Saccharomyces cerevisiae S288C: one gene and its partners. The protein of the gene in region 1 purifies or fractionates together with the protein of each later gene. This does not show direct contact. Each region holds a gene or a part of one and is shown in the gene's direction. Other genes may lie near its edges. The genes, in order: TAF2, TAF7, TAF3 and TAF10.

Region 1 (10,501 bases):
CAATGCGGACACTTCATACAACGATCCTAAACAGCGGTTGATGAGGTTTTTCAACACATTGTATGCTGCACTGAAGAAGGGAGGGAAATTTGTGGCCCAGTTCTACCCGAAAAACGACGACCAGGTGGACGACATACTGCAGTCTGCCAAGGTGGCAGGGTTCAGTGGCGGGCTTGTGGTGGACGACCCAGAGTCTAAAAAGAATAAGAAGTACTACCTTGTGTTGAGCAGTGGGGCCCCACCGCAGGGGGAGGAGCAGGTGAATTTGGACGGTGTGACCATGGACGAGGAGAACGTCAACTTGAAGAAACAACTGCGCCAGCGCTTGAAGGGAGGCAAAGACAAGGAGTCTGCCAAGAGTTTCATTCTAAGAAAGAAGGAGCTCATGAAAAGACGTGGGAGGAAAGTTGCGAAGGACTCCAAGTTCACCGGGAGGAAAAGAAGACACAGGTTCTAGAAGAAACACACATCCTCACACGCATATTCTTTTGTATACTATAAAAATACACACTTATACATTTCCCTCTGTCTCTGTCTCCTTCTACATGTATACTTGTATATGTATACTTGTATATATACACTTATATCTGTATGTGAGTGGTCAATGGCTCCGCGCACTTTTATGTAGTGATGTATTTTCCTTTTTTTCTTGGTTTTCAATTTTGGTGCTTTGGAACTCCCAGTAAAGAAGAAGAAGAAGAATCGAGTCTTCCCTCTGAGCAGCTGCTGAAAGGGAGAGAGAACCATAGCGATGTGGAGCAGGAACGTCAGATTGCTTGGATCATGGACAAGGTCCTACATGGTCCCCGCCACCAAGAGAAAAACCATCCCCGTGTACCCACCTGTGCAGCGCATAGCTTCGTCGCAGATTATGAAGCAGGTGGCCCTCTCAGAAATAGAGTCTCTGGATCCCGGGGCCGTTAAGAGGAAGCTCATCAGTAAAAAGAACAAGGACCGCTTGAAGGCAGGCGACGTGGTCCGGATTGTGTACGACTCGTCCAAGTGCTCGTACGACACCTTTGTTGGCTACATCCTTTCCATAGACCGCAAACAACTGGTGCAAGACGCCTCGTTGCTGTTGCGGAACCAGATAGCCAAGACGGCCGTCGAGATTAGAGTGCCATTGTTTTCGCCGCTGATCGAGAGAATCGACTTGCTAACCCCCCACGTCTCGAGCAGACAAAGAAACAAACACTACTACATCAGAGGTACAAGGTTGGATGTCGGCGACCTCGAGGCAGGTCTAAGAAGAAAGAAATAGGCTAGGCGCGGGTTCTGTGGCCACCCATCTCCTGTATATAAGAAAAATAGTGCGTGTATAAAATCTACGTATACTAACTATGGGTAAAGTAAACCTTTTTGTACTGTTTTCTTTTTTTTTTTTTTGGTTTCCCGTAGTGATGACGTACGTGTATAGAGAATTGAAGCGAAAATAAAAAAAACGACACAAAATATTGTTCTCATTGGCTTTTTTATTTTCTATTTTACACAGCATATAGAGGTATACTCAAGTGCTAGACATCCTCTAACATCCGCCAAGAAAAACAGCAAAAAAACACTGGTCATGAAGCCACAGTGCATACTCATCTCTTTGCTGGTCAACCTCGCATACGCAGAGGAGTATTTGGTGAGGTTCAAAAATCCCACAGCATTCCAACAATTCACTTCGAATTCCAACAGGTCATGGAGACAGTTCATCGACAACAAAATTGAGAAGAAATTCTCCATCGGATCCTTCCGCGGCGTGACCATGAACCTGTCCAAGAACTTAGTGAACAAGCTGAAGAAAAGCCCACTGGTGGCTGATATTGTGCCCAACTTCAGGTTCGAAGCTTTTGAAGGCGACAGTGTAAATAGCGCCGAGTCGAGTTATACGTTTAACGCTACCGCCAAATACTCGTACGAAGACGTCGAGGAAGAGCAAAATATAACGTATCAACCAGACGCACCCCGTCACTTGGCCCGGATTTCCCGCCACTACCAACTCCCATTCGACGTTGGGGACAAGGACCGCTACAAAAGCTGGTTCAATTACTACTATGAACACGACTATCAAGGTCAAGACGTCAACGCCTATATCATGGATACGGGTATCTTCGCGGACCATCCGGAATTCGAAGACAGAGTCATCCAGGGGATTGACTTGACCAAAGAAGGGTTTGGCGACCAGAATGGCCACGGAACGCACGTGGCGGGACTCGTAGGTTCCAAAACGTATGGAGCGGCAAAGAGGGTCAATCTTGTGGAGGTCAAAGTCTTGGGCAAAGACGGGTCTGGCGAGGCCAGTAACGTTCTTAGTGGTCTGGAGTTCATCGTGGAACATTGCACAAAGGTCAGTCGCCCACAGGGTAAAAAATGCGTGGCCAATCTAAGTCTAGGGAGTTTCAGGAGCCCCATAATCAACATGGCAGTGGAGGGGGCCATTGAAGAAGGTATTGTATTTGTTGCCGCGGCGGGGAACTTCAATTTAGACGCCTACTGGGCCTCACCTGCGTCTGCAGAAAACGTTATCACCGTAGGGGCCTTTGATGACCACATTGACACGATTGCCAAGTTCAGCAATTGGGGGCCCTGTGTAAACATCTTTGCCCCAGGCGTGGAAATTGAGTCGCTATCTCATCTGAACTACAACGACACTTTAATTTTGTCAGGTACATCTATGTCGACGCCCATTGTCACCGGAGTTGCAGCGATCCTACTCTCGAAGGGAATTGAGCCTGAAATGATAGCACAGGAGATTGAGTATTTGTCCACGCGTAATGTTTTCCATAGAAGAACGTTGTTTTTCAAGCCTTCTACGCCAAACCAGATTCTTTACAACGGCGTCGATAAACTGGACGATCCATATGACGACGAAACGTTCCCTCGATTGAACATAGAGGCAATTGCTAAGGAACTGGAGGAGTACAATGCCACTTTACAAACTCCTATGTCTGAGAATCTTCAATCTGGTTCAAAACTGTGGGGTTGGAATAACGATGTCACACTACCTCTTGGTGAGATTCGATTGAAGAGGCGTGATTTTATGAAAAATTTGTAGTGTTTTTCTCTTTCTCTCATAAATAAATTATTGCATAATGTCATGTCAACATTAGTTTTTTCGCTCTTCTCTTGCGTATTCTTGTACTTTTCATTTTTCATTTTTCATAAAGCGAATAAAAGAGCAACCTAAGGTGTGAAACCATACCCTTCGGGAGAAAAGAAACAGAAGTGTGGCAAGAAATATGAGGTTAGCTGTGGTTGTGACCCTACTTGTTCACTGTTTCCTAGTGACATGCTCTCCAGGAGATAATTTAGATGAGTTTATAGACTGTACGTATGCGTGCGAGTATAACAGAAGATGTCCGAATTCCCAAATAAACTACATTGACCCTGAAACCAACATGTTTCATGATATTGAGTTTTTCGATACCCCGCCTTTGTACTCTAAGTTATTGTTCTGGGATTGTATCTCAGATTGTGATTACCAATGTCAGCACATCATTACGCGCTGGAGAATTGACGAAGAGGAAGAAATATACCAATTCCATGGGAAATGGCCATTTTTGAGAGTATTGGGGACTCAGGAATTCTTCTCGACGATATTCAGTATAGGTAACTTTATTCCACATTATAAGGGATTTGTAAAGTTTTCTAGAATCATACGCGAAGAGGGAGATAGGAGGAGAAAAAACAGCAGAAGTATACTGATTTGGAACTACCTTTACGTTACTGTGGCGGGAATGTTGGCTTGGACAGCAAGCTCGGTCTTTCACTGTCGTGATTTGATCATAACGGAGAAGCTAGATTACTTTTTCGCAGGTTTAACTGTCCTAACAGGGTTTCATGCAATATTTGCAAGAATGACTTCCATGTTCCTGTACCCCAAGATAGCACAAGCGTTCACTGCGTCAGTTGCGGCAATCTTTGCCCTGCACATCTTGAGACTCTATGTTGACTGGTCGTACACATACAACATGAGATTCAACATTTTTTTCGGTGTTTTACAGTATATTTTATTGATAATGTTATCATGCCAAAACTACCATGCTCTGCAAAAGCAAAAGCTAATGGGCGAATTCAAGAAAACCGCGTACTCCAGCTTCAAGCGGCAAATCTTCAAACTGTGTGTCATTCCAATTCTTCTTGTGATTGTAACCACAATGGCCATGTCATTGGAACTGTTTGACTTTTTTAGTTACGAATGGCAGATTGATGCCCATGCGCTATGGCATCTGTGCACAATATGGCCCTCGTGGGTATTGTACGACTTTTTCCTCGAGGATTATGCCTATTGGGGTAATAGACAATTGTACTAAATATCTTAATTCACCTGTTTACTATCATGAATAATAGTTATATATGTATTTTTTTTTGTTTATTTTTGATTTTCTTTTACCGTTATCACATTCTGTTTATTTTTCACTTTTTTTTCGCTCTTTCTGTATGTATAGAACTAAATGCAAAAGAATATTTGTGCCAAGATAAGGCCAAGAAATTTTTGGGGCAACAGTAGGCAGTGAAAGCGCTCTTAACGTACTTTGGCAAAGGATGATCCCAGCTCCACTTGATGCTTCCTTATTGAGAGAACATGCATTCCAAGGAACTAATGATCTAAGCACAGTTTTGAGTCCAAGTACGTTTACCGATGAAGGTGGATATAAACCTGTATTGAAATACGGACTCGGTTATTTCAATTATGGACTGGTTATAGACGATGAAGTGTATGATTATTCAGTGTGTGATATCATAAGGGGTCACGTTTACGATCATTTTTGGTGTTATTTCTGTTGTTTCATGATTTTGTTTACTATCTGGTTAATAAGTTTAAATTGGTGTCCCAGCAGCAAGAAAAGCAAGTTTGATTGGAGCAAGAAGAAGGACGACTTTAAGATGGAAGGAGGTGATTTAGAGTACCAACATGTAAAGATCTAAATCTACATCGTTCTCAGGACGACTTATTACTGCTGGTTTCGAAGGAATAACAATGCATTTTTTTATCCCACCATTTTCCTCGTTTATTACAAAAAGCAATGAAATAATATGTATATGTCTACATAGAGATATTATTATAGTAATAATGCATTTTCTATTTGATTTTAATTTAATTTATTTTATTTTTTTTGGATGTTTAAAGTTGAAAATAATAAAATGATTAACTATTGACAGAGGGGTAAGTGGGGTTGTTACCTTTTTCCTTTTGGTTAAAGGAATAAATGTTTTCTTATAACATAAAAAAAGCTATAGTTATATAAACAAGGATTGCGAATTCTTAGAAACATATTCCATGGTTATTTTTTTTATTTTTTACTGCATTCAATTATTTGAAGAAACTGTCCATCAAACATAAGTTTCTTGATAATGTGCTGTTTGTAGTGAACTAGAATTGTTATAATAATATGCTGCAATTTTTATCAGATTGCTTCAAAATCTGAGTGATAATTGTATTTTTTTTATTTATTTAATCCAAGAGTTATTCTAAAATCGCACTAAAATTAGTAAAAAAATCAAAAAAAAAAAAGCTGCAGACATCTAAAATGGTTGTGAATCATTCTTGCGGATATCGTGCTACAAAATCAGTCTTATTTAATTCAATAAAATACATAGAACTTTCAATATAGTGAATATTTTTGGTATTACCTTAAGTAACCGGGTAACACTTAAATACTTTTGCCGAATGGGGCAATTGGTAAATTGCGTAAGATGAAAACTATAGTAAAATGGAACGGATGTAAAAGTATTTTTTGATGAAGTTTTGGACAGTGAAGAGGTGACAACAGGATAAATAGGTGGACTTCATGATGTCCTTTTCCAAAAACGCCACTCCTAGAGCCATTGTTAGTGAATCTAGCACTTTGCATGAGATGAAGTTTAGAAATTTTAGAGTTGCCCATGAAAAAATCTCGTTGGATATAGATCTAGCTACTCACTGCATTACCGGTAGCGCTACTATAATAATCATTCCGTTGATCCAAAACCTAGAATATGTAACTTTTGATTGCAAGGAAATGACTATTAAAGATGTTCTGGTCGAAAATCGTCGATGTGATCAATTTATTCATGACGACCCACTTCAAACAAATTTGAATGGATTGACTTCACAAAATGTATTATACAGCGACAATTCCATTGAACAGTCACATTTTTTGAGATCTAAGTTTGCTAGCTTGAATGAATACCCAGAAACGGACTCTAAATCCCAGTTAACTATAAAAATACCATCTTCCATCAAAATATCTTTGGAGGACGCCAATGCATTAAGTAATTACACTCCGATTACTCCTTCAATTAAGACTACCCCTGGGTTTCAAGAATCTGTTTTCACTCCAATTACATTACAAATTGAATATGAAATCAGAAACCCAAAGTCGGGTATTAAATTCGATACTGTGTATGCTGACAAGCCCTGGTTATGGAACGTTTACACTTCAAATGGTGAGATTTGCAGTTCTGCATCATATTGGGTCCCATGTGTCGATTTGCTTGATGAAAAATCTACATGGGAGTTAGAATTCAGCGTACCGAGATTGGTTAAAAATATAGGTACTTCGAAATTAATCGGACAAAATGGAGAAGAGAGTGAAAAAGAGAAGGAGGATACGCCTGAGCACGATGAAGAGGAAGAGGGGAAGCCGGCAAGAGTTATCAAAGACGAAGATAAGGATTCTAACTTGAAAAATGACGAAGAAGGCAAAAATAGTAAAAGCAAAGATGCACAAGATAATGATGAAGAAGAAGAGGAAGGCGAAAGTGACGAAGAGGAAGAGGAAGGGGAAGAGGAAAGGCGGAATATTGAGGAAAGCAACAATCCGAGTTTGAGGGATGTGATTGTGTGTTGTTCAGAATATTCAAATATTAAAGAACTTCCGCACCCGATTGATTTGACGAAAAAAAAATGCATATTTCAGATAATTAATCCTGTGGCTCCACATCACATTGGTTGGGCTATAGGCGCCTTTAATTCATGGTCTTTACCTTTGATATCACCTCCAAGTGTTGATGCCGAGGACGAAGTAGAGGAAGACAAGTTGAGAGAGAATGTTGTGGACAATGTTAACGATACTATGGATGACGACATTGGTTCGGATATTATACCCATTCAAATTTTCACACTTCCGACGCAGGAAACAGATGAGTTAACAGTTATAAATTCGACAGTTGTCTGCCAAAAAATTATAGATTTCTACTCGAAAGAATTTGGGTCTTATCCTTTCACTTGTTACTCTATGGTGTTTTTACCTACCGCACCTTCTAAGCATATGGATTTTGCAGCATTAGGCATTTGTAATACCAGATTATTGTACCCTCTAGAAGTTATTGATAAAGCATTCAGTACTACGAATGAGTTAGCATGGGCACTTGCTAACCAATGGTCTTGTGTGAATATAACTCCTTTAGATATGAACGACTACTGGTGCTGTCTTGGTATTGCTGGTTATATGGTGTTTCAGGTAACCAAAAAATTAATGGGTAATAACACGTATAAATATCAATTAAAGCGTAATAGTGAGGCGATTGTGGAACAAGACTTCGAGAAACCGCCTATTGGGAGCACTTTTACCGGCAGTTCTAGGCCAATATCTTGGTCTTCTAAAGATTTGTCCTTTATACAATTGAAGGCACCGATGATACTACACATACTTGACAGAAGGATGACTAAAACAGAACGATCTTTCGGTATGTCTCGAGTATTACCTAAAATTTTCCTTCAAGCTATGTCTGGTGATTTACCGAATAATTCGTTGACTTCATCGCATTTTCAACATGTTTGCGAAAGAGTTAATAAAAGTAAATTAGAGAATTTTTTCAACGAATGGGTATATGGGTCTGGGGTACCCATATTACGTGTCACCCAAAGATTTAATAGGAAGAGGATGGTTATAGAACTGGGTATAAGGCAAGTTCAAGATGAAGAACTTGGCCACGAAAAAGTGGTAGGGGAGGAAGGATTTTTCAAAAGTGCACTAGACCACTTAGAACATCCAGATTTGAACCGAACCGAATGCTTCACGGGCTCGATGACTATAAGGATCCATGAACACGATGGTACTCCGTATGAGCATATTGTGGAAATCAAAGATACATTCACAAAAATAGATATTCAGTACAATACAAAGTACAGAAGATTAAGGAAAAGAGGTGGTGGTGCAAATGATGAAAATGGTGTTGAAAACAATAATGAGGAGAAGCCTATTGTTGTGGATGTGAATTGTCTAGGAAATGTATACATGTCGCCCGAAGAGTGTTCCCGATTCAGTTTGACGGAATTTAATCGTACGTCTGAGAGTAATGAATTGCTTAAGCAAAACGAAGCATTTGAGTGGATACGCATAGACTCTGATCTGGAATGGATTTGCCAAATGCACATTAATCAGCCGGATTACATGTTTTCTTCTCAGTTGAGACAAGATGGGGACATAGAGGCCCAACTAGAAGCCATACGATATTATGAGGACGTCGTTGTTAATGGTGGTGTGAAATCACTTGTTTATTCAAGTATTTTGTTTAGAACGGCGATCGACGAGCGTTACTTTTTTGGCATAAGACTCGCGGCGTGCGAAGCGCTTAGTAAATACGTATATGATCCGGATTTTACTGGCGGTGTTAAGCATTTAATTCAGATTTTTCAGATTTTGTTTTGCCTAGAAGACTCTAATATTCCAAAGAGTAATAACTTTGAGAATCCTAAGTTGTATTTCTTACAGTGTAATATTCCCAAATATTTGGCTAAAGTGAAAAATGAAAATGGTAAATGTCCAAAATTGGTGAAGCAATTTTTACTGGATATTCTTGTTTATAATGAGAATGGTGAAAATAAATACAGTGATGATGCGTACGTCCGCAGCTTGATTGAAAATGTTGTTAAAGTTGCTTTAAATGAGTATAAAGATAAAGCATATATGGAAAAAGTTAAGACTCAGTTATTGAGGTACGAAAATTTGGTGAATTGGCTTTCATCATACGAGTCTTTGATTAAGACTACTATCATGTATGCTAAGTACAAATTGCATAAAGTGGGTGCTTATGACTTTACGGAATTGACAGGAATGATAATGCATACATTAACATTAGGTATAAATAACGGAGATATTTCCAGGGAAAGCTTTCAGAATGAGTTTTTAATGGTTTTGAAAATCATGCTTTTAGAAGGTGGTTTAAAAAACAAGGATGCCCTTGTTTTGTTTACTGAAATACTTTGCTTCCATGAGGATTCTTATATTAGGGATAAAAGTGTTGATGTGCTTTCTGAATGTGTAAATCTAGTTGTTATGGATGGTAGTTTGGATACCATAAGTGACGATATTAAGTCCTCCGTCCAATCTGTGCACAATGAAGTTAAAAATATAAAAAGTGAGGATGATATTGAGTTGTTTTTAAGTGGTCATTACGTCGATGATATGAAAATAAAAATAGAAAAGATTGGCCGTCAAAATATTAGTGGGTTAATACAAATATGCCGAGATATGTTTAAAGGGTATAGCCCTTTGAAGATATTACTCTGGGATGTTTTGAATTTACCTGTTCTTAGCTTGTACCAGAGGAAGCAAATACATGATCTTGTTAGGGTGATGTACACCCTAATCAACAGTTTTGTAGTTAGATTGGAAACACCAAGGGAGAGAAGACTTGTGGCGAAGATGAATAGTAATGAAGAAGGTAAACTTGATATTGTTATAAAGCGTGAAAGTATCCTAAAAGTACATATTAAAAAGGAAGTAACCTCTACTGTGGAGGCACCCAAGAAGGCGAATAAGATAAAGATAAGTTTGAAAGGTGATAAACCTGTTAGAAAAGTGGAAAAACAAATTGTGAAGCCGAAGGTAACTAGCAAACAAAGGAAAGTCAAAAGTCATGTGAACCGCATGGGCAGTTTACCTTTACGGTTTGTTAAGATCCAACAACAACCTAGAGTAATGGTGCATTTGTCATCCGTCCCGTATAGCCAATTCGTTCAAATTACAAAAGTCACATCAAGATCGTTTATGGTTAAGATAAGAACAAAGAATGATGCTAAGAATTGATTGTTTGCTTGAGTCTGAGTAATATCATATTTTATACAAATACATAGACATAAACAAAAGAGGCAAGTAGATAAGGGTATAGCCATATGAGTGTATAAACAAACATTGGGAACAAGAGCAAGACGATGGGGAGTTTCAAATAGGATAGCTATACTGACAACATTCAGTACTCGAAAGATAAACAACCTCCGCCACGACCACACTCTATAAGGCCAAATGTACAAACACATCTTCCCAATATCCGTCACCACGTACTTCAGCATAATTATTCGTCAACCACTCTACAAAACCAAAACCAGGGTTTATAAAATTATACTGTTGCGCGAAGTAGTCCCATATTCCGTGCTGCATTTTGTCCGCGTGCCATTCTTCAGCGAGCAGAGAAGACAAGACATTTTGTTTTACACCGGAGCCAAACTGTGAGTAATATGCTCTAAAAGCCATAAATGAGTTTAAATATTTCTTTGAAGATTTTATAGATGTCTTATTGAACTGTCGAA
Region 2 (8,053 bases), on another chromosome or scaffold:
TCCAGAAAGGAAGTTCAAGATAGGTTCTAAGGTTAAAGGTAGAGTTATATCAGTTAATTCAAGAGGTAATGTGCATGTCACTTTGAAAAAATCATTAGTTAATATTGAAGACAACGAATTACCACTGGTTTCCACTTATGAAAACGCCAAAAATATCAAAGAAAAAAATGAAAAGACTTTAGCAACTATTCAAGTTTTCAAACCAAATGGTTGCATCATTTCCTTTTTTGGTGGTTTATCGGGATTTTTACCTAATTCTGAGATCTCAGAAGTCTTTGTGAAGAGACCAGAAGAACATTTAAGACTCGGTCAAACAGTAATAGTAAAACTTCTTGACGTCGATGCTGACAGGAGGAGAATTATTGCCACATGCAAAGTTTCAAATGAACAGGCTGCCCAACAAAAAGATACCATTGAAAATATTGTTCCAGGCAGAACAATCATTACTGTCCATGTTATCGAAAAAACCAAAGATTCTGTTATTGTTGAAATTCCTGATGTTGGCTTGCGTGGTGTCATCTACGTTGGTCATCTCTCTGATTCCAGAATTGAACAAAATAGGGCTCAGTTGAAAAAGCTCAGAATCGGCACTGAACTGACTGGTTTGGTAATTGATAAAGATACAAGAACCCGCGTTTTCAATATGTCCCTCAAAAGTTCTCTGATTAAAGACGCTAAAAAGGAGACTCTTCCATTAACATATGATGATGTTAAGGATCTAAATAAAGATGTACCAATGCACGCTTACATTAAATCCATTTCTGATAAGGGTCTCTTTGTTGCATTTAACGGTAAGTTCATTGGGTTGGTTTTACCAAGTTACGCTGTTGATAGTAGGGATATTGATATCAGCAAGGCGTTTTATATTAACCAATCCGTTACCGTCTATTTATTAAGAACAGACGACAAAAACCAGAAATTCCTATTATCTCTAAAAGCTCCAAAGGTCAAAGAAGAGAAGAAGAAAGTTGAATCTAATATCGAAGATCCTGTTGATTCGTCTATCAAAAGCTGGGACGATTTGTCTATTGGTAGTATTGTTAAAGCAAAAATCAAGAGCGTCAAGAAAAATCAATTGAATGTTATTTTAGCGGCAAATTTGCATGGCAGAGTGGACATTGCTGAAGTGTTTGACACGTATGAAGAAATTACAGATAAGAAACAGCCGTTGAGTAATTACAAAAAAGACGATGTCATCAAGGTAAAAATCATAGGTAATCACGATGTCAAGAGCCATAAGTTCTTGCCGATTACACACAAAATCTCAAAGGCTAGCGTTTTGGAATTATCCATGAAACCATCAGAATTAAAATCTAAGGAAGTGCACACAAAAAGTCTTGAGGAAATCAACATTGGGCAAGAGTTAACTGGCTTTGTCAACAATTCATCAGGTAACCACCTATGGCTAACAATTTCTCCAGTTTTGAAGGCGAGAATTTCTCTACTAGATTTAGCTGATAACGATTCAAATTTTTCAGAAAATATTGAATCTGTTTTCCCATTAGGTTCAGCCCTCCAAGTGAAAGTTGCCTCTATTGACCGCGAGCATGGCTTTGTCAATGCCATTGGAAAGAGTCATGTTGACATAAATATGTCCACAATTAAAGTTGGTGATGAATTGCCAGGTCGTGTTCTAAAAATAGCTGAAAAGTATGTTTTGTTAGACCTTGGTAACAAAGTGACTGGTATTTCCTTTATTACGGATGCGTTAAATGATTTCTCCCTAACATTGAAGGAAGCTTTTGAAGACAAAATTAACAACGTCATTCCAACTACCGTTTTATCTGTTGATGAACAGAATAAGAAAATTGAACTATCCCTTCGTCCTGCTACTGCAAAAACTCGTTCGATCAAATCTCATGAAGATTTGAAGCAAGGCGAGATTGTAGATGGTATTGTTAAGAATGTGAATGACAAAGGTATTTTTGTTTACTTGAGTAGGAAAGTTGAAGCCTTTGTCCCTGTTAGTAAACTATCTGATTCTTACTTGAAGGAATGGAAGAAGTTTTACAAGCCTATGCAATACGTTTTGGGAAAAGTCGTTACATGCGATGAAGATTCTCGTATTTCTCTAACCCTAAGAGAATCCGAAATAAATGGTGATTTAAAGGTTCTAAAGACCTATTCAGACATTAAGGCTGGTGATGTTTTCGAGGGTACAATTAAAAGCGTCACTGATTTTGGTGTTTTCGTCAAACTAGATAACACTGTTAATGTTACTGGTTTGGCACATATTACTGAAATTGCGGACAAAAAACCTGAAGATCTTTCTGCCTTGTTTGGTGTTGGGGACAGAGTAAAAGCTATTGTTTTGAAAACAAATCCAGAAAAAAAACAAATTTCATTGAGCTTGAAAGCGTCTCATTTCTCTAAAGAAGCCGAATTGGCTTCTACTACCACCACCACTACTACTGTGGATCAACTGGAAAAGGAGGATGAAGATGAAGTCATGGCAGATGCTGGCTTCAACGATTCCGACAGCGAATCTGATATCGGAGACCAAAACACCGAAGTTGCCGATAGGAAGCCTGAAACATCTTCGGATGGGCTATCCTTGAGTGCTGGTTTTGATTGGACTGCTTCCATTTTGGATCAAGCGCAAGAAGAAGAAGAGTCTGACCAAGATCAAGAAGACTTTACTGAAAATAAGAAACACAAGCACAAGAGAAGAAAGGAAAATGTTGTTCAGGATAAGACCATTGATATCAACACTAGGGCACCAGAATCTGTTGCCGATTTTGAACGTCTACTTATCGGTAATCCAAATTCGTCCGTAGTGTGGATGAACTATATGGCTTTCCAACTACAACTGAGTGAGATCGAGAAGGCTCGAGAGCTCGCAGAACGTGCGCTAAAGACCATCAACTTCAGAGAAGAAGCCGAGAAGTTGAATATTTGGATTGCAATGCTGAATTTAGAAAATACTTTTGGTACCGAAGAAACTTTAGAAGAAGTGTTTAGCAGGGCTTGTCAGTATATGGACTCATATACTATTCATACAAAACTGCTTGGTATTTATGAAATAAGTGAAAAGTTCGACAAAGCAGCAGAATTATTCAAAGCTACAGCTAAGAAATTTGGCGGCGAGAAAGTTTCTATCTGGGTATCGTGGGGTGATTTTTTGATCAGCCACAATGAAGAGCAAGAGGCACGTACTATTTTAGGTAATGCTTTGAAGGCCCTACCAAAGCGTAATCATATCGAGGTTGTCCGCAAGTTTGCTCAATTAGAATTTGCAAAGGGTGACCCAGAAAGGGGTCGGTCATTATTCGAAGGTTTGGTTGCTGATGCGCCAAAGAGAATTGACCTGTGGAACGTTTACGTAGACCAGGAAGTGAAGGCAAAAGATAAGAAGAAGGTGGAAGATTTATTTGAGAGAATAATAACCAAAAAAATAACAAGGAAGCAGGCTAAGTTTTTCTTTAATAAATGGTTACAATTTGAGGAATCTGAAGGTGACGAAAAGACCATTGAATACGTTAAAGCTAAAGCTACTGAGTATGTCGCTAGCCATGAATCTCAAAAAGCAGACGAATAATTCCTGATGGATTTTTAACTGTAAAGTAATATAAATGGCTAAGTTTGTAAAGTATATTTGTAAAGTACATAGAATGTAAAGTTTCAAGAAGCAATTTCTATCGATCAATTTAGCTTTGACGGTTCGTAGAGCTCCTTTTCTTAAAGTTTTAGTTCCGCTTCTCGCTTCTTGATTACAAGATGGTTCCGTGTTAACGAAGATTGAGTTCTATGTATTTTTTATATTCACACGCTAAAATCACATATTTATTAAATAATGAAGTAAATTTTAAAAGCACTTTTTTCAACCAGAGTGCTCTGTTTGATACATATCAACAAAATCCATTAAAATATCTGGTTTGAAAGGCCACTCCATGAATAATTTCGTTAGATATATAAACTCGTCATTTGTCAAATCAATCGGACACTTTTTTAGCAGATCTTTGTCAGTGATTCTACTATTAAAATATTGTTGGCCACCATGTCCCAGCGAGTCCATGACAGTATTCAAGGGTGTTCTTTTCAAAATCATTAAGTGCCTCGTGACATAATCCCAATTATCTACGTCAAAATCGAAGTCAATTGGGTCCATTTCTACTAACGCAATTGGCTTTCCCTTTGTAGGCCATATTTCCGCAGCACTAAATAAAATGGGATCCCATTCTTCTATGCATTGACTATCAAATCCCTTCAATTCATTTGCGTCTGATATGGCAATGAGTTTAGTATCTGTAAATGCCTCCCTTACTACTGAACATTTGGATCTAGAATGCATGCCTGGCCTAGCTAGAAGTTTTCTAGCTGTTGTGCTTGGCATCCATAATAACATCTTTACTTTACCAAACCTATACAACCAGTTCTTGTTTCCAATACAGGACAGCCACTGCATTATAAGACCTTCAGAACCCTCCCCCGTCACATTAGCAACGGTTAGAAATTTATCATTAATATGATCTGAGGATTGAACTTCAGGAACAAATATTCGCTCTTCGTCAATTAGATTCGAGTAGGTTGACCAGTCATATGGATCTCTTTTTAGAATTTGCAATGGAGACCCTTCGAATTTTGCATTCAGAAACTTGTAGAGACTTGAGCGTTTTTCTAATAAAGAATATTGCCTGGGGCAATATTTATTATAAAAAATAGCTGATTGTATACCAACACCAGGGTAGAGGTCAAGTACTTTCAATTCTTCTGGATGTTTATACGTTTTAGTTAAATCCAGCTTATCAAAGATTTTATTGTATACTGTTGGATTCCATAAATATTTGAAACCATAAAAGAACTTAAGTTTGGAGATATCTTTAATACCAGGGATTGGAACAGACATAGTTGCTGAGCCTTCTTACTTCAAAGAATGGTATTGACTGACGTAGTAACCGCATTTGTAAAGTTTCATCTCTATTATCATCATACAATAATATCGCTGTTATTCGGCCGATGAGAACAGTAAATAAAATTTCAAGACAAAACTTGCTAGCAAAAATAATAAAAGCGAGAAGAATAGGAAGAACTACATAAACAAGAGACAGTGTTACCATTCAAATTAGTCGCAATAATCGACGTAAATATGGCTGTTATAAGAATTAAAAAACCCAGAGGACCAGGAGAGAAGGATCAACCATTAGAAGGCGAGCCTAAACTAAAGAGAATTCGCATAAAGACAAAGGTAACTGATGAAGATATCAAACCAAAGCCTAAATTAAAGATAAACCTAAAGAAAAAGAAAGAGAGTGCTGACGGCAAAGAGAAGAAGAATTCATTGAAGTTAAAGTTAAACTTGAAAAAAAATGAAGAACCAGTTAAGAAGATACACAAGGCGCCAAAGCTACGTCTCAAACCTATTAGAATTCCTGGGGAAGCGTACGACTCAGAAGCCTCTGATATTGAAGATGACCCTCTCATAGAGAGTGGTGTGATATTAAGGATACTTCCAGACATACAGTTAGAGTTTGTAAAAAATTCGTTAGAATCAGGTGATTATTCTGGGATAAGTATCAAGTGGAAAAACGAGAGACACGCTGTCGTAACAATAAACGATGTAATGTATGGTGCCATTCTAGTAGATTTGCCTACAGTTATAGAAGTGAACAAGAGCGTCGATAGAAAAAACCTCCTGAAGACATTTGACGTATCACAAATGCTACTATGCATAAGACCTATACAAGAAGAGGAAGAAGTATATGCCCTAGAAGCCCCTGATACAGAAGATCTGGTTGTTAAGCATTTTGAAGGCATAGAGGATGAAATTTGGGAGAATAAAGAAACCTTCTTAAAAGGATACAATGGTGCGCCTTTAAGTGATATGGAGGCTAAACATTTGAAAGAAATAGCTTTGAAGGGCTATGACTACAAACATGGAATATCACCACCTTTGTACAATGTTCGAAATAGACGATTTAGACGGAAAATGGACCCTAATGAAATAGACTATGTAGAAAAAGTGGTTGATATGCTTTTGAAGCAAGATAAACAGGCAGAAGAGGTCAGCTATGATCTGGTTGATAAAAGTGAACTGCAAGCGAGGCAAGAGCGTGTTTCTAGTTGGGAAAATTTCAAAGAGGAGCCTGGAGAGCCTTTATCTAGACCTGCTTTAAAGAAAGAAGAGATACACACAATTGCTTCGGCAGTAGGAAAACAAGGTGCAGAAGAAGAGGGAGAAGAAGGAATGGAAGAAGAAGAAGAGGAGGATCTTGACCTAGGCGCTGCTTTTGAAAGTGAAGAGGAAGGTAGCGGTGCCGAGGGAGACAAGGAGCAACAACAAGAGGAAGTCGGTGATGAGGTGGATCAAGACACAGGCGGAGAAGATGATGACGATGATGACGACGGTGACATTGAAGCTGCTGGTGGGGAAAGTGAATCTGATGACGAAAAAGACGAAAACAGACAGCACACTGAATTACTTGCGGACGAATTGAACGAACTAGAGACCACCCTGGCCCATACCAAGCATAAATTAAGTAAAGCCACGAATCCTCTTTTGAAAAGCAGGTTCATAGATAGCATTAAAAAGCTCGAGAAGGAGGCTGAACTAAAACGTAAGCAGTTACAACAAACCGAAGATTCTGTCCAGAAACAACATCAACATCGCTCTGACGCAGAAACTGCAAATAACGTCGAGGAAGAAGAAGAGGAAGAGGAAGAAGAAGAGGAAGAGGATGAAGTGGACGAAGACGAGGAGGATGACGAAGAAAACGATGAGGACGAGGATAATGTGCATGAACGGGAACACATACAAGAGAACAAGGTGGTGCGCGAACTTGATGAAGCCCCCGCAGAGGAAACACTCGACCAGAACGATCTCGATATGATGATGCTATTTGGTGCAGAGGGTGATGAGTAAGTTCTCTTTATCATCTATATATTACTCTTATACACTATACGACTCTACTCTATGACGTATAGCATTGATATATATTAAGGCACGACACCGATTTTTCTTATCGGAGCGATATAAAAAGCTGAAGAAAGGAGGATAGATGAAACAGCATGGCGCATAGAAAGTGTTCAAGCTCACTAGTAAAGGCGGGAAATAGAACATTGAGAACGTATTTTGATAATGTCCCAAGGTAGAAAAGCTGCAGAAAGATTGGCTAAGAAGACTGTCCTCATTACAGGTGCATCTGCTGGTATTGGTAAGGCGACCGCATTAGAGTACTTGGAGGCATCCAATGGTGATATGAAACTGATCTTGGCTGCTAGAAGATTAGAAAAGCTCGAGGAATTGAAGAAGACCATTGATCAAGAGTTTCCAAACGCAAAAGTTCATGTGGCCCAGCTGGATATCACTCAAGCAGAAAAAATCAAGCCCTTCATTGAAAACTTGCCACAAGAGTTCAAGGATATTGACATTCTGGTGAACAATGCCGGAAAGGCTCTTGGCAGTGACCGTGTGGGCCAGATCGCAACGGAGGATATCCAGGACGTGTTTGACACCAACGTCACGGCTTTAATCAATATCACACAAGCTGTACTGCCCATATTCCAAGCCAAGAATTCAGGAGATATTGTAAATTTGGGTTCAATCGCTGGCAGAGACGCATACCCAACAGGTTCTATCTATTGTGCCTCTAAGTTTGCCGTGGGGGCGTTCACTGATAGTTTGAGAAAGGAGCTCATCAACACTAAAATTAGAGTCATTCTAATTGCACCAGGGCTAGTCGAGACTGAATTTTCACTAGTTAGATACAGAGGTAACGAGGAACAAGCCAAGAATGTTTACAAGGATACTACCCCATTGATGGCTGATGACGTGGCTGATCTGATCGTCTATGCAACTTCCAGAAAACAAAATACTGTAATTGCAGACACTTTAATCTTTCCAACAAACCAAGCGTCACCTCATCATATCTTCCGTGGATAAACCTAGCTAAACTAAGTAAATCTGTATACTTTTTATACATGTAAGACTTTTTAGCTATTTCATTCTTCCCTGAACCGTTTTGCGCGATTCTACGGAATATACCGGCGAAATAAAAGAGATAAACTTATGGATCCTCAAATAGAGGATGAACAGATGTGAAGAAGAAACGAGCTT
Region 3 (7,219 bases), on another chromosome or scaffold:
TCATTCTTCTAGATGAGAACAGAAGAATTATGGCTTTGCAAAGAGTCGTTCTAGAGCATGAAAATAAGGTCGGACAAATTTATGAAATGTTTGACGAATCACTTTTTACCACAAATAACGAGTCTGCTGATGAATCCATAGAAAAAAACAGAAAGGCAGAATACACCTCTGAACTAGTCAACGAGTGGATAAAAGCAGTTCAAGCCAAGTATGAATCAGACATTACTGTTATTAAGCAACTTAACATTCAAGGGAAGGAGGGCGCTAAAAAAAAAAAAGTGAAAGTACCTTCCATCCATAAACTGCTGCTTTCGAAAGTCCCTCATTTGTCTTCAGATTTATTATCAAAGAACCTTAAGGTATTCAATATCGACCCTTCAGAGTCTTGTTTAAATCTTTTGGAGGAAACAGACTCACTCGCCGAATTGCTAAACAGTACTCAGTTAGAATATAATCAACTTTTAACTACCACCGATAGAAAGGGTTACATTTTGGCCAAAAGAAATGAAAATTATATCTCTGAAAAAGATACTGCCGATTTGGAATTTATTTATGATACATTCCATCCCTTTAAGCCATATATAAATGGGGGAGACACTGACTCTTCTTGTATCATTGAAGTTGAAGGTCCTTACAATAGGACGCTAGACAAATTTTTCTCAACAATAGAATCCTCTAAGTATGCTCTACGTATACAAAATCAGGAATCGCAAGCGCAAAAGAAAATCGATGATGCTCGTGCCGAAAATGATAGAAAAATACAAGCTTTATTAGACGTCCAAGAACTAAATGAAAGGAAAGGCCATCTCATAATTGAAAATGCACCCTTAATAGAGGAAGTTAAGCTTGCTGTTCAGGGTCTAATCGATCAACAAATGGACTGGAACACTATTGAGAAACTAATTAAAAGTGAACAAAAAAAAGGCAACAGAATTGCTCAGCTTTTGAACTTGCCTTTGAACTTGAAACAGAACAAAATTAGCGTCAAGCTTGATCTCTCTAGCAAGGAACTCAACACTTCTTCAGACGAGGACAATGAATCAGAAGGCAATACTACTGATAGTTCTAGTGACTCAGACTCAGAAGACATGGAGAGTTCGAAGGAGAGGAGTACAAAAAGTATGAAAAGAAAATCTAATGAAAAGATAAACGTTACAATTGACCTTGGTTTATCAGCTTATGCCAATGCCACTGAATATTTCAATATCAAAAAAACAAGTGCTCAAAAGCAGAAAAAAGTCGAAAAGAATGTCGGCAAGGCTATGAAGAATATTGAAGTCAAAATTGATCAACAATTGAAAAAAAAGCTAAAAGATTCTCACAGTGTCTTAAAAAAGATCCGCACTCCTTACTTTTTTGAAAAATATAGTTGGTTTATTTCAAGTGAAGGATTTTTGGTCATGATGGGTAAAAGTCCGGCTGAGACAGATCAAATCTATTCAAAATATATTGAAGATGATGATATTTATATGTCCAATAGTTTTAACTCTCATGTATGGATCAAAAATCCAGAAAAAACAGAAGTTCCACCGAACACTTTGATGCAAGCGGGTATACTATGCATGTCCTCAAGCGAGGCTTGGTCGAAGAAGATATCTTCTTCTCCATGGTGGTGCTTTGCAAAGAATGTTAGTAAATTCGATGGCTCTGATAACTCCATTCTGCCAGAAGGTGCCTTTCGGTTGAAAAATGAGAATGATCAAAACCATTTACCCCCTGCTCAACTTGTGATGGGTTTTGGATTTTTATGGAAAGTGAAAACCAGTGGAAATGAGGATAATGGTGATGATGACGAAGAAGAAGAAGAAGAAGAAGAGGAAGAAGAAGAAGAAGAAGAAGAAGAAGAAGAAGAAGAAGAAGAAGAAAAAGAAGAAGAAGAAAAAGAAGAAGAGCAACAGCAAGATGAAGACGATAGTAACGAGGTCAATGGGTTAGAGAAGGGTGGAGATTCAAACGATAGCACGAAAAACAACAGTTTTGAACACGATAATCTTGAAAAAGACATCGAAAAGCATTGCACCATATCATCCGATACCGACTCTGATTCTGGAAATGCTAAAGCCAAAAATGACAATAGCAGTACGCAGCGTATCCTTGATGAACCAGGTGTTCCGATATCTTTAATCGAAAACATAAACAGTAACGTCCGTGGTAAAAGAGGAAAATTGAAGAAAATTCAAAAGAAATACGCCGACCAGGATGAAACTGAACGTCTCTTGCGTTTGGAGGCCTTGGGTACTTTGAAGGGTATCGAAAAGCAGCAACAAAGGAAGAAAGAAGAAATAATGAAGCGAGAAGTTAGAGAAGATAGAAAGAATAAACGCGAGAAACAAAGAAGACTACAGGCTTTAAAATTCACCAAAAAAGAGAAAGCAAGAGTGAACTATGATAAACACAAGTCCGAATTAAAACCATCTCTCGATAAGGGCGATGTGGTTGATGATATTATACCAGTATTTGCCCCCTGGCCTGCGCTTTTGAAATATAAATACAAAGTCAAAATACAACCGGGAAGTGCGAAGAAAACTAAGACTTTAACTGAAATTTTACATTATTTCAAGAGTAGACCACTAGACGGTTCTTCAACTGACAACGAAATGGATTGGCCCCAAGAACATGAAATGATTAAAGGCTTGAAGGAACAGGACTTGGTTCTTCTGCTCTGTGTCGACAAGTTAAAAGTAACAATCGCTGGGCAGAAATCCACCAAGAACGGTGGTAACTCTTCGAAGAAGGGCAAAAAAAAACGCTAAATCATATGAGATGAAAAGAAAATAGACAGCAATTATAATTTTTTCATTATTTTTCATCACAGACCAACGAGAAGAATAAAATGATTAGCATGAGGTGACAATCATTTCTAAATGAGCAACATATACTTATATATATAAGTAGATACATATATATGGAAGGGAGAAAGTAAGACACTGCATATATACCATATAAGACCAGCTAAAATTTTCTTCTATCCGCTTTGCCTTGTGATCATAAGCCTTGCTGTAACCTTTCTTGAAACTTGCTCTTTGCGAAACCCCACGCGCCTAAGAAACCCTTATCCAAATCTAATGCCATTTGGGGTTCGTTCGTAGGTGGTTTAGAAACTCTGGATGCAATAGTGTTAGAGTCAGTTTCGAGGATAACACCATTATCAATGGTTTCATCAATAGCTAATAAAACCATATCATAGTTTTCTTGGATGTTTTTTTTGTCCATTCCTGAGTTCAAAATCAAATCCAAAGCTCCTCTGATTGCTGAAAATCCTTGCTGAAGAACAATTTCATTCTCTTCCAGCGAAGCAACTAAATATATCGTGATATCAATGTATTCTTTGTAAAGGACTAAATGATCCTCGAAGATTAAAATCTCCGAATCTTGCTTGTGAGTCTTACGGTATAGTTGTTTCTCAAACTCTTTTTGCTTCTTCACCGAATTGAAGAGCAATTGGTGTCCTTCATCAGATCTATGAGGAGGTTGATAATACTTTGCATAAATTCGTTCTCCTTGCTGATCTAGTATTAAAACAGCCTGAACAGTATATAGCGATAAAGAAGACATCCTGGAACAATGATGCACAGTACTCAAAATTAGCAAGCCAGCTCACAAACAAAACCTAAATGCCTAAAGAACTTCTGTCTAGCAATAACTTCGATATTCCACACCTTGTAGCCTAAACAATGCAAACGTGTTTTTTCACTTGACAGAAGTGGCGAAACGGGTAAGCTCGCGATGCTTTAGTTTTTTTTTTCAGTAATTTCATATTGCATGATGAAGGTATGCTAATATAACACTTGAAGTAGCTTCCTGAGCAATTCCAAATCACCTACTAGCGGAAAACAGCGATATCTTTGGGTCAATAGAGTTCCTCTGCTATGACTACAAATAATGACTTCTATTTTGCTCTACTACGCATATCTATTCTCCAATTATTGAAGGCACAAGGATTTGACAGGGCAAGGCCCAGTCTGGTGGATGTCATGACCGATCTCTATGCAAAATTCTTGAGTTTGTTAGCATCAGAGGTCAGTTCTATCGCTCAGGCAAGATGTGATCAGGACGATACAATTGCTTTACAAGATATAACTCTGGCTCTGGAAAATCTAGGTATTGTTAAGCCTACGAACGTTCTGGATGTCTATGATGAAAACTCCGAATTATCAAGTTCACGAGGAATGGAAAAGTTCAAGGACTGGTGTATTTATAGTACTCAATTGACCGACGCGCGAATAACTGCCTTACCCACAGTAGAATTACTACAAAGTGAGGAAAAAGAATCTGATCCTTTGTCAGCAATACCTGACTATCTCAATCAATTACTGCAAAACAAGGGTGCGAAACAGAAATTAGAAACAAAGAATAGAAAAACAGAGTTGATAGAAGATCTAATAAATAATAATGGATTAGATGATTGGATCAAATTAGTCATTGCTAGACAACGTATAAACATGATTGAAAGAGCTTCCAAAAAAGAATCTCAAAATGTACCGGCTTTACCACATATTGCAGGCTATAAATCTTCCATTCTAAGCCGCCATCACCACACTACCATAACAAACGAAGATAGGATGCCTTCGGCGATGACCCCAAGAGATGAGGATGCCTTAACAGAGATCCAAGAAAATCCATTTGTAACTAGCAAACTGCCGATAATGAGAAAAGAAAATAGGTTAGAAAATATAACTCTTTCATTTGAGGATGAGGAGCTTGAATCACTTGGCGAAGTGGAAGGCCCTAACCAAAAGTCTCAAGAAAATAACAATGAGGAAAGTTTTAAAGAGAACAATAAAAGTTTAACAGAGTCTCCTCATGGTGATGACCGTGACATATCAATGTTTCAATTCGACTCAAATGTTGATACTAAATGGGCAGAGCAGGAAGATATGGACAGCACATTTCAACGTCGAACCTCACTAGATTATGGGGGTTACTTTTAAAACGACATTTCTGCATTTTCTTTCGTCATTATCTCATCCATATTTAATTAACCTCACATTATTACTATATAGTGTACTTTCGCTTCTTCAAGATAATAAGCAATTAAACGCCCGATTCATTTTTTTCTTTATTTTAATCATTTTTAATATACAGTATTATAATATTCTTATATATACATATCTGATTTTTTCTCCAGGTGTGTAATTAGCCATATTGCTCAGTTTCAATCTTCTATAATTTTTTTCTAGATTTGAACTTTGGACCTTTCTTATTATGTTTGCCAATCTTGTTACCTTGATTTACTCTTCCTCTCATTAGCCTACTATCCTTTTCACCATCATCATCATCGCCAAATTCATCAGAGTCCTTTCCATTTTTCCTGAATTTCAGCTTGTTTCTTTGACCTCTTACAGGACCACTTTTCACAGCCTCTAGATACGCATTGATTCCGCTTGTCACAGCACTCAATGGATCGTCTACATTAGTAGAGGGTTTAGGTTGCCCCTTGACAACGAGTTTTCCTTCTGAGTCAAAGTTAAACGCATCATCATTAAACCTTGCTCTATTTTGATTCTTATTGAATTTCTTTGGTCTGGTAGATGATATATGAGCTAGTGTTTGAGAATCTAACAAATCTAGTGGGTTGTCACCGGATTCTACAATAAATTGCTTTGCCCCATTCTTCATTTTGCCACCAGCAACATTTTCCTCCTGATCTGATCCATTATCATTTTCTTCATCAGACCCATAAACAGCTTCATCGAATGCAGACATAAATCTTGAACCCTTTGTGGCAGCTACATCACTAACTCCAGTAGTAACTTCTTCATCTTTACGCTTATTCCTATTGCGCATCTTTCTTATATTTGTTAATAATCTCCTATCTTCTTCAGGGAAGTTGGCTTCAATGTAGTCATATCCAAATCTCCTTATTAATCTTTCAATAATATGCTTGACTTTGGCTTTGAAATGACCAGTGTGTTCGTGAGACCATCTTAATAACTTTAGAAGTAACTCTGGCACCTTTGGCCTCATCAGTTCTTCTGGAAGCCCCAAAACACAAACCTTGGTAAACCCAATGGCGCTTTTTACAATTTCCCTAGAGTTAGAAGTTAAGTACAATTCAATGGTGTCATATATATCCATTAGTATACCGGAATCGAGTTCATTTTTGAATTCAAAAACTAAACAAGCATAACCCGTAATTGAACTACTAACCATATGTTGAGATTCACCAATAAGACCGGCAGAAATGATCTTAAAAAACTCTGATATTGACGACGATTGATCTGGAGTGGTAGGATCATAACCTGGTATTTGGAATAATTTGATAATACCATTTGGCTCATTCATTTTTCTTCCCATACAAATTAAAGTATCAAAAGCGGTCTCTCTAGATTTTTCATTCACATCCTTTGTACTCAAAATAACCTCAGCGACGGTTCTAACAATGAAATCAAGATGATCTAAAGGTAATAATTCTACTATGGTTTTAATTGCTGTTAATCTTGCAGCTTTAGCAGATGTTTGAACAGAGGAGGCGCTATCTACCATGACATTCTCAATATCCGAAATGAATTGGGCGACAGCTGTTGATCCCGATTTCAACTCAGAAAGCTTTGTAATAATTCTATAAGCTCTTTTTTGAATTAGCGCGTCAGCAGAATTTACGGTGAGGCTAAACATTGAGAATAAAGCAGAATAAGACGAGACAGGTAAGTATGTTATCATACATATGATTAAGTCCAATAGTGTCGCTGTCAATTGAGGCTTTTTCTTTTCTTTGTTCACATTTCCGCTACTTTCTTCATTCATAGAATTCTTCAAAAGACCACATACGTTGTTGAAAGTTTTCTCCAAATCTTCCTTTGAAGTAATCTTTAAATATTGATCAATCGTTTCCAAAATATAACTCCTTGCATTTGGAGTGGTTTGAGTATAAACATTGAACAAAACTGCTAGAAGATTCGTTGATTTGGTTGAAAGGTATTCTATATTCTTTTGAGCTTCAGAAATGGGGAAACGTTGCAACAATAAAACGTTGTGAGAAGAGGACTCTTCGGCATATGAAACATTGCTTTCTGCCAAGACCTTTAAAGCATGACAAATTGTAGTTCTTAACTCAACCTCGCTGTATAATAAAGAAGATAGTTCTGAGGCAAATTCGTCAGTGAAGGATTCCCTCAAGTCCATTGGGAGTTCACAAAACCGTGGAAGTGTAGACCAGATTTGGTCAACAATAGTTTGAAAAACTCTCAATTGAATAGATTCTTCCGGGACTTTATCG
Region 4 (6,475 bases), on another chromosome or scaffold:
GCTGGTTCCAGAAATGGTGTTAACTTTATTGGGTTCAACGGTACTTTTCAAACCTTCACTATCCTTGCCCGTATCACTTATTATTTGGAATAATTGATTGATTTTCAAATAATACGACAGCTCCACGCACCCTTGACTTTTATCTTGATTAGTATTGTTTTGTAATATAAGCCTTTGAGAATGAATGATTTTACTAATCATATGGCCAGACAACTCGTTCAGTTCATTCTGAAAGCCATTCATTTTGATGGACATCCATCTTAGGATTGGATTTTCATTGGATGATGAAGTTGTGTTCTTGTTACCACTTTCACTTTCTCTTTGATTATTATTGATAAAGTTTTCTAAGTTCAACAATTTTGAAAAGAGGGACAAAATTGTTTCTTGGGGTTGGTCAATGTTAAAATTTGAATTTATTAAACTGTTCCAAATCAGATCTTTATACGTGACTAATAAATTTTCTATTTGAGTCCAAATTCTTTTTATAACAAGAGATTGTGAAGCATCTGAACTCTGGTTGAAACGGCGACGGAGCGTAAGACCTTTTGAATATTCGATAATGAACTCATTGAAATCGTTGTTAGTCAAACATCTCTTTAAAGATTTGGGTAGGTTGAAGTAAAACTTATTCAATTCAATAAATTTTTTGGTGGCCTGGTAATTCAAAATTTTCTGATAGTTATCCATTAGCGGTTTCAGTTTGAAAGTTGTTGTTCTAATAACCTCGTCGACCTTTTTATTTAAGCTTTCCACATTTATTTGATTTTCTTTTGGTGAATCACATTGGTTTTTTTCATTCGTTTTCTCGTCAAATTCTTTGTAAATTTGGTCTAACTTGTTTTTAATCTTAACATACTTGGTGAAATTTTTACCAACCAATTGTTTCAAATGTATAGATTGGTCTTGTATATCACTGTCCAACCTGTCCAGTGAGTTATTTAGATCATTGAAAGAGTCTTGTTTGTGCATATCTCTCAGAAAGGCTTTGACGTTGAATTGTTTACTGTTGACAAGATAGTTCAACCGCATTGAATCATTTGGTAGATGTTGCAATTCTTTAGACATTTCTTGTCCATTCAAGGGATCTCTAATATAACTTAACGACTCATCGTTTAAATATGCTCTCGATTCCTTGTCAATGCTAATTTGATTGCCATATTTGAAGTCTTTTAATATGTCGAATGACGTTTCAACGCCAAGTTCATTGCTTGTAGCCTCTTCATTATTCAATTTTGAGGAATCTTGGGCCCAGGAATGGGTCGGATTAATAGTCTTCAACTGATAAAAACGAAGTAGTTGCTCGTCGCCAATTTGAAACCTATCCATGGTACCAAACTTTTTTTCGCTACTTTATTTCAACAGAAACTTCTTTCCTAGTTTAGCAGCTTTAACGCAGCTTATTTTTGTTACTTTAGTTGAATAGTAGGAGTTGATACTTTTGTTTTTTCAAGTTGAAAACAGAAACGAAAAATTAAAGAAGCTGCAGATTCAGCATTCATGCCTAAGCTAAAAAGAACTGGCAGCGAAGAACAGAGGAAAGAATAACTGAAACTATGGATTTTGAGGAAGATTACGATGCGGAGTTTGATGATAATCAAGAAGGACAATTAGAAACACCTTTTCCATCGGTTGCGGGAGCCGATGATGGGGACAATGATAATGATGACTCTGTCGCAGAAAACATGAAGAAGAAGCAAAAGAGAGAGGCTGTAGTGGATGATGGGAGTGAAAATGCATTTGGTATACCCGAATTTACAAGAAAAGATAAGACTCTGGAGGAGATTCTAGAGATGATGGACAGTACTCCTCCTATCATTCCCGATGCAGTAATAGACTACTATTTAACCAAAAACGGGTTTAACGTAGCAGATGTACGAGTGAAACGACTTTTAGCACTTGCTACTCAGAAATTTGTTAGTGATATAGCTAAGGATGCCTACGAATATTCCAGGATCAGGTCTTCCGTAGCGGTATCTAATGCTAACAACAGTCAGGCGAGAGCTAGGCAGCTATTGCAAGGACAGCAACAGCCTGGCGTGCAGCAGATTTCACAACAACAACATCAACAGAATGAGAAGACTACAGCAAGCAAAGTTGTTCTGACGGTGAACGATCTCAGTAGCGCTGTTGCTGAATACGGGCTCAATATAGGTCGCCCAGACTTTTATCGTTAGTGGCTAACAAATGGAAATGAAATATGTATATAGTGTAGCAGTATGCAACTCTTTTAAATACACGATTCGTTATTAGATTGATTAGAGCACTTATTCACGCAAATTTGACACGCTTTTTGAACATCCGTTTTTCACGATTTTTTACTGAAGGATCATGAAAGATTGCCACATAAGAGAACACCTCCGTTGCACCAACACTTCATCACGATAAAAAAACTATCGAGCTATCGTACTACGGAACAACTACATAAGTCAAAAATGGCCATTGATTACTCTAAGTGGGATAAAATTGAACTATCAGATGATTCTGATGTCGAGGTGCATCCTAATGTGGACAAGAAATCGTTCATTAAATGGAAACAACAGAGTATCCATGAACAGCGATTCAAAAGGAACCAAGATATCAAAAATTTGGAGACACAAGTGGATATGTATTCTCATTTGAACAAACGAGTGGACAGAATTTTGAGTAATTTACCTGAAAGTTCTCTTACTGATTTGCCAGCCGTTACCAAATTCTTGAATGCAAATTTTGATAAGATGGAGAAAAGTAAAGGGGAAAATGTTGATCCTGAGATTGCAACATACAATGAAATGGTTGAAGATCTTTTTGAACAATTAGCAAAAGATTTAGACAAAGAGGGCAAAGACTCGAAGAGCCCATCTCTCATAAGGGATGCTATTTTGAAACATAGGGCTAAGATCGATTCAGTAACTGTAGAGGCTAAGAAGAAATTAGATGAATTATACAAGGAGAAAAATGCACACATTTCATCTGAAGACATTCATACAGGCTTTGATAGTAGCTTTATGAACAAGCAAAAGGGGGGGGCTAAGCCACTGGAAGCAACTCCTTCAGAAGCTCTTTCGAGCGCTGCAGAGTCTAATATTCTTAATAAACTAGCAAAATCATCAGTTCCGCAAACTTTCATCGATTTTAAAGATGATCCTATGAAACTGGCCAAGGAAACTGAAGAATTCGGTAAAATATCCATTAATGAGTACTCAAAATCTCAGAAATTCTTACTGGAGCACTTACCTATTATTTCAGAACAACAAAAGGACGCCTTAATGATGAAGGCCTTTGAGTATCAGTTACATGGTGACGATAAGATGACTTTGCAAGTCATTCATCAATCCGAATTGATGGCCTACATTAAGGAAATCTACGACATGAAGAAAATTCCATATTTAAATCCAATGGAACTATCAAATGTCATTAATATGTTTTTCGAGAAGGTTATCTTCAACAAGGACAAGCCAATGGGTAAAGAGTCTTTTTTGAGATCAGTTCAAGAAAAATTTTTGCACATTCAAAAACGTTCCAAAATTTTACAACAAGAGGAAATGGATGAATCGAATGCTGAAGGAGTAGAGACGATTCAATTGAAATCTCTAGATGATTCTACAGAATTAGAAGTAAACTTGCCAGACTTCAATTCTAAAGATCCAGAAGAGATGAAAAAGGTTAAAGTTTTCAAAACTTTAATACCGGAAAAAATGCAAGAAGCCATAATGACCAAAAATTTGGATAATATTAATAAAGTCTTTGAAGATATACCAATTGAAGAGGCTGAGAAACTTTTGGAAGTGTTTAATGACATTGACATTATTGGAATAAAAGCGATCTTAGAAAACGAGAAAGACTTTCAAAGTTTGAAAGATCAATACGAACAGGACCATGAAGACGCCACTATGGAGAATCTGTCCTTAAACGACCGTGATGGTGGCGGAGATAACCATGAAGAGGTCAAACATACTGCCGACACTGTTGACTAGAAATTTATGTAGCTATTTTACTGGTGCAGCGTGCATCTACTTCCTTTTTTATTGTTATTTTCATTTATACATAATACAAAAAAAAAAAAGAAGAAAATTAATGATCAATAAAGAAAATCGTGAAATTACAGCAGAGGTTTTGTACCTGCTTTCCTACGTTAGTACATAATATCTTATTTTTTATTAGTGCATGTTTTTCTCAGTGTGTGTTTTTGTAATTTGTATATACTACACAAAGAATCGGAAGGGTAAAATGTGAAAAATACTGGGTCTTTTGAAATATATTGAACGGGCTAATATATGAAATGAATATGAAAAGAAGAAAAAAATGTGACAAGAAAAAAGTGGTGACAAAAAAGACAAAATAATTATTCAGAGATGATAAACTTAAAGCAAAACTTGGTAACAAACTTTCATTAAAACAAAATATGTATTCTTTTTTCATTTTCATTTTTTTTTTACTGTTTTTTTGTTATTTCATGGAACTGGTAAAGAATTCTTAAGATTTTAAGCTCATTAATAAAAACGCAGCACTATTGTCTTCCCCATTTCTTGGCTGCTGTTCATGTTTCTGTTGGTCGTGTTGTAGGGGAGGCTCAATATCTCCATTCTGAGAGTTAGTAAAACTTGGATTTGTAGGTTTAGGGCTAACTACGCCATTAGTAGAACTTGCTACGCTGTCTATGTTAGGTGCTAAACTGTTATTTCTCAGAGAAGCTGCACCAATTGATTCCCAGTCTTCTTCGTCTGTATCTGAGTGAGGTTGATGATGAGAATGGGGAACAAGTTGTGGCGACGATTCCCCATTCAGGTGTTGTGAAGCTACTCTATGTTTCTCCTTGTCCGATAATACTATCGGATTTGAACTTACATTCATCTGTTCTTCTAGCTTAGGGGAGGTGGAAACCGACGTAGCTTTAGAGTTAGGGTTTGTAGTGACGATCAAATAGTTTTTGTTTGGGAAAAGTGTCGATCTAATACTTGATTCTTTCGATACAGACAGACGAGAAGCTCTTCTTGAAGTTGGCTCACTTGTCGCAGTAAGTTTCTCTAAATCTATCTTCGCCTGGTTTGAGTTACTGTTGTTATTTGATGGGGTTGTCGTTGAGGTTGTATTGGGGGAAAGGTAGGATGAATCTTGGTGTGTGTTTAGTTTGGAAATGAAAGGTGTATGTGGTTTTATGCTCGAACGGCGTCTATTTCTTAATAGCGGTCTAATCTTTTGTGCTATTATTTCATGCTCAATATTCTCGGGAGTTGAATCGGCGAACACAACTTGAGACCTTCTCCTGCCGAAACTATAGGGATCACCATTTGAAGATTTTCCAAAATTATTACTGCTGTTCCTCGATTTGTTTTGGTAATGTAAATGATGGTCATCTTCATCAAACTCCTCATCCTCATCTTCCGATGCTAGCGCATTTTCATCTATATATACTACGTTTGCTGCTGCAAGTGGAGATTTGCTGCGTTTGATATTAACAGGAATGGTGGTGGAAGCAACAGCGGTAGGCGGGGTGGTGGCTCCATCGATATTCGTGATATTATGCTCAACTTTCATAGGCATTTCAACTTTGCCGCCTGAATTAGAATTTGAATTGTTGCTTTTCCTTCTTTGACTCTCTTGAGAAATCAAGTCTTTCACCTTTGCATTTGCAAAATTGGTCGCTTCCAGCTCCTTATCAAAGTTGGCAGGGTCTACTCTTTTCGCGGACCATTGACCCCATCCAATTTTTTCAAATACCACTGATTTTTCTTTATCACCACTTTCCATAGCACTCATTATAAGTCGTCTTTGCTTGGAAGATGATAAATCTTTAAAACAGGGAATATCTAGGCATAAGGTCTGTGTAATGTGTCTAATGGCCAATGGTCCCATTTCTAGTAATAAAGTGGACAGTTTCCCGGGCGTAACTCTTTGAGCGGCTGCTAACCCAGCGGGTGATGATGTGGAGATAGGTTTGGAAAATATACTAGAGCTTGCCTCGGATTTGACCGATATGGCTTGAGGAGGCGATACCTCCTTTTGGTTTTCTGACATTATTAGTGGTAGTCTGAAATAATGTCTTTTTATTCAAAATTTCAATTTATTAGAAAAGCACAAAGCAGGAGCTTGGCGTTTGTACACCGAATGATTCAGATGATACTATACTCTTTTTCCTTCTTTTCAGCGGAAATTTAGTAACGGTCTTTAATCGTGTTTACAAGTGGTTACAAATTCACGTGCTCCGATTGGAAACTGGTTATTGACACGACTCTTGAAAATCTCAGTTCGCCCTTTTTTGCGATAAATTTAACGTGCTTCTGATCAGGATTGCCAGGCACCGTTTGCAATCAGTGTCTTTTATAATCGATTTGTCTTGGATATGGATGGTATTACCGTACCTGTATCTTTATATTATAGCGTGGATTGCGTGAGATTGTGTGGAGATGAACATGAGAAGGATAAAGACTATCTGAAATAGTTCACTCTTCGGTTACTAAGGTAAGGAAGGCGCCTCTACCCTCTCAGCGCGCACGTG

Evidence for each region.
Region 2: the proteins of TAF2 (region 1) and TAF7 purify together in Saccharomyces cerevisiae (affinity purification with mass spectrometry; 5 studies listed by BioGRID, with this or other methods). This does not show direct contact.
Region 3: the proteins of TAF2 (region 1) and TAF3 purify together in Saccharomyces cerevisiae (affinity purification with mass spectrometry; 4 studies listed by BioGRID, with this or other methods). This does not show direct contact.
Region 4: the proteins of TAF2 (region 1) and TAF10 purify together in Saccharomyces cerevisiae (affinity purification with mass spectrometry; 5 studies listed by BioGRID, with this or other methods). This does not show direct contact.

Annotation. Positions count from the first base shown.
Region 1 is NC_001135.5:200,674-211,174, reverse strand, and holds TAF2 (transcription initiation factor TFIID subunit TAF2), read left to right. Parts: upstream 1-5,777; coding exon 5,778-10,001; downstream 10,002-10,501. Other genes in the region: BUD23 (18S rRNA (guanine1575-N7)-methyltransferase), read left to right, coding at 1-457; mitochondrial 54S ribosomal protein bL19m IMG1, read left to right, coding at 752-1,261; RRT12 (Rrt12p), read left to right, coding at 1,565-3,040; PER1 (Per1p), read left to right, coding at 3,225-4,298; YCR043C (uncharacterized protein), read left to right, coding at 4,531-4,914; YCR041W (uncharacterized protein), read right to left, coding at 9,932-10,264; MATALPHA1 (transcriptional co-activator mating type protein alpha), read right to left, coding at 10,206-10,501. UniProt on the Saccharomyces cerevisiae protein: Functions as a component of the DNA-binding general transcription factor complex TFIID. Binding of TFIID to a promoter (with or without TATA element) is the initial step in pre-initiation complex (PIC) formation.
Region 2 is NC_001145.3:721,419-729,471, reverse strand, and holds TAF7 (TATA-binding protein-associated factor TAF7), read left to right. Parts: upstream 1-5,086; coding exon 5,087-6,859; downstream 6,860-8,053. Other genes in the region: RRP5 (Rrp5p), read left to right, coding at 1-3,538; MTF1 (RNA polymerase specificity factor), read right to left, coding at 3,821-4,846; ORA1 (oxidoreductase), read left to right, coding at 7,076-7,879.
Region 3 is NC_001148.4:531,354-538,572, reverse strand, and holds TAF3 (Taf3p), read left to right. Parts: upstream 1-3,869; coding exon 3,870-4,931; downstream 4,932-7,219. Other genes in the region: RQC2 (Rqc2p), read left to right, coding at 1-2,753; RET3 (coatomer subunit zeta), read right to left, coding at 2,986-3,555; mRNA-binding protein RRP12, read right to left, coding at 5,164-7,219. UniProt on the Saccharomyces cerevisiae protein: Functions as a component of the DNA-binding general transcription factor complex TFIID. Binding of TFIID to a promoter (with or without TATA element) is the initial step in pre-initiation complex (PIC) formation.
Region 4 is NC_001136.10:787,896-794,370, forward strand, and holds TAF10 (Taf10p), read left to right. Parts: upstream 1-1,553; coding exon 1,554-2,174; downstream 2,175-6,475. Other genes in the region: exocyst subunit SEC5, read right to left, coding at 1-1,326; Hsp90 co-chaperone CDC37, read left to right, coding at 2,433-3,953; STB3 (Stb3p), read right to left, coding at 4,453-5,994.